Linked DNA regions of Bombyx mori. The protein of the gene in region 2 purifies or fractionates together with the protein of the main gene of each other region. This does not show direct contact. Links are inferred from orthologs where the notes say so. Each region holds a gene or a part of one and is shown on either strand. Other genes may lie near its edges.

The links.
Region 1: the proteins of E3 ubiquitin-protein ligase COP1 (region 2) and DET1 homolog purify together in Homo sapiens (affinity purification with western blotting; 11 studies listed by BioGRID and IntAct, counting the BioPlex papers as one, with this or other methods). This does not show direct contact. The link is inferred for Bombyx mori from reciprocal best matches to the Homo sapiens genes COP1 and DET1.

Annotation. Positions count from the first base shown.
Region 1 is NC_085127.1:9,203,367-9,207,745, forward strand, and holds the start of DET1 homolog, read right to left. Parts: upstream 2,933-4,379; 5' UTR 2,465-2,932; coding exon 2,144-2,464; intron 2,017-2,143; coding exon 1,891-2,016; intron 1,543-1,890; coding exon 1,325-1,542; intron 1-1,324. UniProt on the Homo sapiens protein: Component of the E3 ubiquitin ligase DCX DET1-COP1 complex, which is required for ubiquitination and subsequent degradation of target proteins. The complex is involved in JUN ubiquitination and degradation.
Region 2 is NC_085130.1:9,511,985-9,516,603, forward strand, and holds the start of E3 ubiquitin-protein ligase COP1, read right to left. Parts: upstream 3,006-4,619; 5' UTR 2,864-3,005; intron 2,273-2,863; 5' UTR 2,269-2,272; coding exon 2,188-2,268; intron 92-2,187; coding exon 1-91. Other genes in the region: PH-interacting protein, read left to right, coding at 3,544-3,580, 3,666-3,724, 3,801-3,830, 3,957-4,016. UniProt on the Homo sapiens protein: E3 ubiquitin-protein ligase that mediates ubiquitination and subsequent proteasomal degradation of target proteins.

The DNA.
Region 1 (4,379 bases), on a different chromosome or scaffold from region 2:
AAATATTTAAACAAAAAAGGATTGGACGCAATTTTTAAAAACACTATACGAACATTGGCTTGACGGTGGTGGCGCGATATCTACGACCTAAGCTACCGCTGGGTAGAGTTCTAACTTAGAACTTCTAAGATAAGACAACTCTGCCGTACCAGGCGGTTAACTCACTTTGTTAACGAAAGCTTCATGTTGTTGGGCAAAGCTTTTAAATGAATTTGAAACTGTGCACATACATATAAACTAGGTACCTAAACAATTATATTTCAATGCATATTCCACATATTGAAGTTGCCGTCCTGAATTCGTGAAGCCGGAATAGCTTCTTAGGCTACCAGAGAAAAGTTTGGGAAAAAATAGCTCGTCGTTGCCTAAAGTCAGGTGTATTCATATCGAGCGGTGCGACTGTACTGTAGCGGCAAACGTAGGGGCGTTCCAACTCCATAAATTAACTTTTACGCGATCGAGAAGTTAAAAAACTCGCACTAAGCACACCGGTGTTCGAATCCCAATAATTTTCATATGAAATATGCATGCAATGCATGTTCACGAATGATTTCCGAATAAAAGTCAAATGCTCAAAAGTTTAAATTTACGTAGTTATTTGTGGTAAGGCGTCTTGTGAGCACGCACCACGTAAGTACCACCACCCTGCCTATTTCTGCCGTGAAGCAGTAATATGTTTCGGTATAAGGGTGAGGCAGCCATTGTATTTTAAAACTGAATTAAAATTCAAGATGGGTCGCGACATTTACGTTTCTGATGTCTATGGACTCTGGTTCCAGGTGAACTGTGAGCACGTCCACACATCGAAGCAATATAAAATTAAAAAACGATAAATAATTGGAAGAAATCTTTCAGATTTGTGATTACAAAATTATTTTAATTGCCTTTGAAACCATACGCAAGACCTATTGGAAAGCAGTTAAATTCCCTCAAGGCTTGCAATGCCATAGCCAAGACACTGCCTGCTAACAATTATTTAATGTATATAAATGTATGTACATTGTATTGATGTATGAATTCTTACATCATGATCCCAAATTTTTGGGTATATATTTTTCACCACCTGTATTCCACCGGTTTTGGCCTAGGGGAAGAAATCAACATTTATGATTTCAGCACAACTTATACATTGTTCTTTTTTTTTTGCTTACAATAATGAATTAAGCTTACTTCAATTTGCCATGACAAATTTATTAAAACCTTTATGATATGTTGCACTTACTATATTTTTAATTTAAAAAACTAATAATAGCTGTGCTATGATGCTGCGGGAGTATGAAAATTAAGTATCGGACTCTAAATAATATTACAGATTAAAAAATACCTTATTGTAGGCGTGACAGCTTCATTGTTACTGTGAATGTGATAAAAATGTGGTCTCAAGTCATCTGGAATATGTGCTGCAGATCCCACTATTACATATCTACCATCTTCAGTAAACAAGCTGCATTCTCTGTTGAGTTGTTGCTCCATCACAGGCATGTTACCAAGACGATCAGATCTGATATCTCTTTGTTGACAAACATTCACTGTAAACTTAGGCTATAAAGATAATTTTATTATTTAGATAGACATTTTCTTATCATTCCATCAAATCACATTATTGCAATCAATAAGGGTTGTCTCTTTCTTGCATGTCTCCTTGGTACAGTTCAGTAAGAAAATTGTGGGTAACTATGTATCTATATCTGGCTGATAGAGGGATATATGTCGAAACTGACAGCCACTGTTAGAGATTAAGACTACAATATAAATAAATTATCTTGAGATGGATGTATTCTTCAATACAGATGTATTGTTTTAAAAGAGAGATTGAGAAAGTAAGCCTATATAATTAATAATATATGAACACCTAAACAAATTAATAAAACATGACACAATATATCATACCTTAAAGAATCTATAAAATATATGTGTTCTAATTCTGTGATGAGCATCAGCATCTGCATTAAGCAAGTCAGTTGGATAACCAGCCACTAAGTCTCCTGCACTAGAAGCACCTCTGTATTCATAGATCTGAAATACAAATCTACTATTTGCAAAATTAAACAGAAAAAAACAACCAACAGCATTTACTCAAAGTTAATGTTTGTTTTTATTACACACTTAAATCATAAAACGTCAACATCATACATTAACATACCTCCAGAGAAGTTTGATCAGCTGAGAATGCTATGAAATGTTTACCATCTGGACTAAACTTCCTCAAAAAGCACGGAGGTTTCTCAACGTTTACGATAGTTAAATTTGGAAAAACATTCTGATAAAATTCACGAACAACGTGAAAATGCGATCCAGGTTTCCGTGACCCGTGTATTTCTCTTTCCATTAATCTTATGACGATATTTTGAGGTTTTATTTTTCGAGGTACAATTTTTTCTGTGCAAAAGAATTCCTTTTCGTCGATTGCTCCGGGTGGAGGGTCCTCATAATAAATAAATTTCGAACTACTCCCAGAAGCCATTGCAAAGGCACGATTTAATTTCTAAAAGTACTTTCGTTATTTTTTTTTTTTTTTTTTAAGAGATTTTATGACCTGGTAACTGAGACCTTTAAGTCATGTCTTATTTTAATCTATATTCTTAATTTTATGAAAAATGATGTTATGGAGTGAAATGAAATGAAAATGATTAATTTGAGACATTAATCAACTAGGATGAAATTAAATGAGATGATATGAGATGAAATCTAATCTCAGTAAAATGGTGGTAATTTACTAAGATTTTTCAGTGGACTTTTTGGAGGATCCCGAGAAGTTACGTCCAGCGGCTTTGTTTCATTTTCCCACATTTGTGCACTTTCACAGATATTAAACGGTTAATAAACCACCATTATTACACATTTAAACCCGAAGAAACACTAAATAGACAAAATAAAACAAATCACACAACTTCACTCCTCGCGTTCCCGCCAAAAAGTCCTTTCGTTATTTATGTACCTTTGTATCCATAGATTATACACTTATTATATTTGAGAGTTTGTATCAATATGAGTAGTAGTAGTAAGGTTTTTCTCGAAGAGAAAGGCAATGGGACTAAGCCATACAGCCAATTCTTAAGTTTAATATTTTCATATATAATTTTATGTTTCAAGGCAAAAAAGCCAATTCTTTAGTATTTTTCATTTATAAATATTTTTCAAATCCGTGTAAATGTCTATTCAGATAAAAAAAAAACCAATTTGTTTCGGTTGAGAGTTGTCGCAATCGTGTTTCTTGGAAAATCTGACTATAAAGTCAAAATTTGTGTTCTCCATTATAAGTCTCCGAAAGTAGAGTTAATGTATTCATATACTGCTCTAAAACTTGCAGTGCACTTAAGCAATTCTTGAAGAGAAGGCGGGATGCTATCCTTATAAACCTCTTGCAGTATTATCAATAAATAGGATGCGATGAATATTAAAAGCTGGACATGTGAAAAAAATATGTTGTAAAGTTTGTTCTTCATTTAGGGAGCATTTATTACAATTTGGTGATGAAGTTATTTTCATTCGGTAAAGGTGAGCGTTAAATTTGCAATGACCAAATCTCAGTCTACAAATCTGTGTGTAGAACTTCCTTTTACAGAAATATTTGCTCCTAGCGAACCAGAGTTTAATACCGATTTCATTATTTATTTCAGCATACCATTTACCTTTGGTTTCATTTATATGCTGTCTGTTTTCGAGCCAATCTTTATTAATTTGTTGACGAATATCAGGAACTAGGTCTTGCCATGGAATTGAAATATTTTTAATCTGGCCACCCAAGTTATTTATTGATTTTGCAAAATTATCAACTTTTTCATTGCCCACCACTCCACAATGTGCTGGAGTCCATGTGAATTCAACAGTGATATTTTGGTTACGCAAATCCGTCCAAAGTTTTTTAATACACTAAAGTAGGTAACAATTTAAAAACAAAAAAATACTCTGCTTTTTATGGGATTTCATGACCTGGTAACTAAAACCTTTAGGTCAAGTCTTATTTTAATTTTAATGAAAACTTTTATAAATGAAAAATTTATACTTAATATTATAAAGCTGAAGAGTTTGTTTGTTTGAACTTGAACTTGAAATTTGAACTATTGGTCCGATTTGAAAAATTATTTCAGTATTAGATAGCCCATTTATTGAGGAAGCTATATAACATCACCCTAAGATAAGAGCACCAATGAAGAATGTTTCAAAATCGGGGCTTTTTCCCTTTTGAGAGCTTCCAGTACGTGCGCTGTGGAAACGGTTAAAGTTTCACTAAAATAATAACCGCAACAGAGTAATAAGTATTTAATTTTAAAGAAATTTACCCACAGTTGATTTTAATGAGTACCTTCTATGAGTATTTTAAAGAGTACTAGCTGACCCGGCAGACTTCGTAGTGCCTCAATCGATAAATAAAAGAC
Region 2 (4,619 bases):
TGATGCACGCGTAGCAGAACGAGTGGCCGCAGCGCGTCACATAGGCCTCGTCGATCAGCTCGAAGCACACCGGGCACAGGAGCTCACAGTCCTGTTGGTCACGTTGGTCACAGCTGAGCTTCAAACTTGCAATCTCTCTATTCTAAATCAAAATCTATATATATAAAAATGAATTGTTGTTCGTTAGTCTCGCTAAAACTCGAGAACGGCTGGACCGATTTGGCTAATTGTGGTCTTTAATTATTTGTGGAAGACCAGAGAAGGTTTAAAAGGCAGATAAATATGAAAATGTTCGGAATTAAATAAAAATAACAATTTTGTTTTTCCTTTGATGTGTCCTCCGTCGGACGGATTCCTTTTGTTTGTTTTAAGTTTATTTTATACAAAAGTTTAGGTCTTTTATTTATCGATTGAGGCACTACGAAATCTGCCGGGTCTGCTAGTTTGTAATAATAATGATTTTTTGCAGATACATTTCTGATACTCCTTTTTACATTACATTTTATTACATATACCCACGGTTGGGTGCATTAGAATCTGTACATCACTAAATAGTGTTTATGGCCTTCAATCTTTTTGATGATAATGGACCCTGACGCTCTAGGAAGTCAGCACTACTAGGTGGACAGCTAGGCTAGACTAAGAATAAATTGCCCATGAAACTGCCTGTCTCATTACCAACAAAGGATTACACGCGCTTGTGATCACACATGACAGAAACGAAGTCAGTTCAAAGGCTCCTTACTGACTACTCCTCTTCAGGTTAGAGCTCTATGAGCTCACCTAGTCGCTTTGTCACAGTGGCATAGCCCTCTAAAGCTACCAGCTTAGGTAGGAAAAAAAACTTTCTGGAGAAGTACCATCTGCCCAGTAAGAAACACTGTTGGTAGTTCTATAAGAGTAGAGAAAGAGAGACAGAGAACATACTTCATTGCACACCAAAACACAATTAAAATTTGCAGTAGGCAGCGGCTTGGCTCTGCCCCTGGCATTGCTGAAGTCCATGGGCGACGGTAACCACTCACCATCAGGTGGGCCGTATGCTCTACCTACAAGGGCAATAAAAAAATAAAAACATTAGAAAACAGTTAACAAACAGATGCATTTGTACAATAGGCGATCTTATCTCTAAAACGATTTCTTCCAGACAACTGATTAACTTACAGAAATTCTGGAAAACATAAAGATATAGCAGGTATATTGCAGTGTACTATTAGTCATACATTATTATAGAAAATATATACACAGAATAAATAGATAATATATACCGTAATGTAATGTGGTGTAATAAGATTAAGGTAGTAATAAATAAGTTCTGAATAGTAAAGATGTGTTTCATATTAGCTGCGGCATCAATCTTTTATAGTAATAACAATAATGTAATTACCAATAATGTAATTAAAGCCTTCATTTAATTATATTCATTATCTTAATGACTTTTTGTGCTAAGCCGGAATAGCCCCCCTTAGGCTACCAGCGAATAGGTAATGGAAAAAAGTCACAAAAATGCCTACACAGATTTTGATAATATTTAGTTTGTAATTTTACACACTAGTGGATCTACAATAAAATGGTAGCTCTGGGATGATTTATACATTTTATATGAAAAAGAAAAAAATAATGCATCTCTATTTTTATAATACTTGTCTTTGTTTTCTGGAATACTTTTGATTCACCTGGTGTAATATATTGAGGGCTATAATATATGAAATGTTATTTGGTGTGACATTAGCATAATGCATGACATTTATCTTTGTAATTAAATGTTTACTTTATTTAGTATTAATATCAACAATTCCATATTTTTAAATGAACTTCAATGAGTTTACCCCATTCAAATATCTGAAGAAGTTTTTTGATATAATATTTTTTCCACATTTTAAATGGCTCCTCTGTTGCCATTCAAATAGAGTATTGGAGCAGTGTCTCGTGCACACCGTGTTTCTTATGCCGGCTAACCTATAATTTCCTTCGATTACACACTGCATATGTGTATTCATTAAATAAAAAATGACTGAAGAAAACGAAGGTTTCTTTAAGAAGTTCCACAAATCGATCAACAACGAATTAGCCGAAGTCACAAAAAACAATTTCACCAATTTAGAATCGAACTCCCATGTTGCAAAAAAGTCTCTAAAACTTTTATAAATAGCCTTTGACCCCATGTTTTTCTGCCTCAGTACAAACCTTATCCTCAAGTGAGCCGCCAAGTCCTCCGAGAGTGGTGGCCGTGCCAGAGCCTGCACTGCTGGCTGCGGCACCCGACATTCCTCTGTAATACACAATTATATTTTATTGATGTTCTGTCAAATATTTAAACAAAGCTAAGGCTTTTTGATTGAGTCAGGCAGTAGAAGGTACTATTTCGACTGTTACTCAGAACAAGAATTTGATACAATCACTGACAACGACCTATACTCAGCCCAGATCCTACGTACTACTGTTCCCACTGCTTACCAGCAAATTAATACTTGTTTAGTAATAAATGACTATAGTGAAGGCAGAATGCTACTTCAGTGTGTACTTGACTTTCTGACTATGTTATTTTCAGATTTTCAAACAATCATTATGTTATTTTGCTATCAATAAAGTATTTTGAATAAACAATGGTGGTAAATATATTGAGTGACAAAACCACACGAACGAACGCAGCGATAAAATGATTTTACTCTGTAGGCTCATTCTAAATATGTTCTTTCACTTCACTAGCGTCCACTGGCTGATATGACAGGGCGATGGGTCAATAAACAATTAAGACAAGTTTATTTTTAGACTTTTAACATGAAAATAAAAAAAAAATATATATTTGTCTTATGATTCTATGTTTCGATCTATTTAATTTAATGTGGTAACGTTTACTTACATAAATACGATGTTGTTTAATTAAAATCACCGAAGATGCATCGCTCGATGGTTACTGTTCTTCTCTTGTTTTCAACGAACACAGAAGCACAAGTTAACGAAGCTTTATTGCACAGTTGTGACTTAATGGAACTTAACGTTAGAAACAATTTTAAGAGTCTTTGAGTATTTAGTAACATCAAAACTCATTATTTTTATCGTGATATCGCGACTTAGACTTATAAGCAGAACGCCCGCACATAAATAGTTCACATTACTTTTGTAGGTGTTGCGAGCGATTAAAATAAAATAAGTCAGATAGGGTCAAGGCCGGCAACGTCAACTATTCTACGTAAAAATGAAGACTTAAAAGTTCTGTACACAAATAAGAAAAAAAAGAATAATATTAAGTACATACATACGGCATATATTTAATTTAAAGATTAAAATTATTATTTTCTAGAAATTTAAATGAACTATAGCGTCATCTACCGAATTAGCCTGTAAAACCGGCTTGGCTGTTTGAGCGGAGTGGTTAACTAGGTGCAAGCTGTTTTGCCGACGAAACATACGCCATTTTGCTATTATTCCAAGGGTTGCATTATCTGTTCGTCAACAATGTAAAGTGAAATGTTTTCGAAGAATTTTCAGTGAATGTGATGAATAAGTGTAGATCTCTATGTTGGAATAAAAACTAGGAGAATGGAGGAATCCAACGAAGAGTATAACGTAATTCCAGGTAGGCTATAAGCCCAGAAAATAACACATGAATGTGTCGATCTCGAACGTACAAGGTCTAATAACGATAGCTTTTCCGATTTCAGAACTCTACTTTCTGATAGCGAAATTTCTGTCTGGTGGTCCACTTAAGGAAACTGCAAAGGTAAATTCACTACCGATCATTCTAAATTACACTTTATTACGATTTTTTAGACTAAAATGAGTATTTTTGTCAACAGACACTGCTGAAAGAGCTCGAGACGATCGAGGTAAGTTAGAGCTTTTCCTAGCGCCGGGTTCAGAGCTTAGGTTTGTTTTGATTGTAAACGCACGTGGATAGCGCTGTCAAACAGCTGAAACTGACTGAAAGTCCGTAACGTTGCACTTGTGTGTAGGTGCTGCCGCGGCGACTGGACTGGCTGGGAACCGAACACACACAGTCCTATGAGGAACTTGTGAGTATTTCATTCAACAAAACATCAGGAGATATCGTTTATTTACGTTTTTAATCGAAATGAGCGATTAGATATGATTAAATTTTAAGAAATCGACGAAAAATCGCAAAATGTATTGGAACCCTGAACGTTTGTATAATCAATGTCGAAACCACAAAAACATGTTTCATGCATGTTTCAGTCAATATTTTTGAGTTTTTTGCAAAAATGCACAATTTTGTTATATCATGCAGTGGAGCCATGAAATGTAGGCAAATAGAATGTTGCACTGTCTCTGTCTAACACGGGCGATTCCATATAGAAACGGGCGTCTATTTCGTTCTCTCTCACGACTTCGTTCGGTTGCACGTCGGACTCTTGATTGGCTGACGATACTCCGAACAGTGCCGAGAGCAGTTGGCGCGCTTTTTAAAGTCCATAAGTCAGTCGGCCGGTTGGATATATAATTTGAGATGTTTGGATGGAAGCTTGTGTGTTATATTTTACGCAAATACTTTTGAAAACTTCATATAGCCATCTACTAAAAACAAAACTATCTCTGAAGACGTACATGTGTAGGTCGATGACTTAAATTATGAGAAACACGTGCCTGACTAGTGTCAC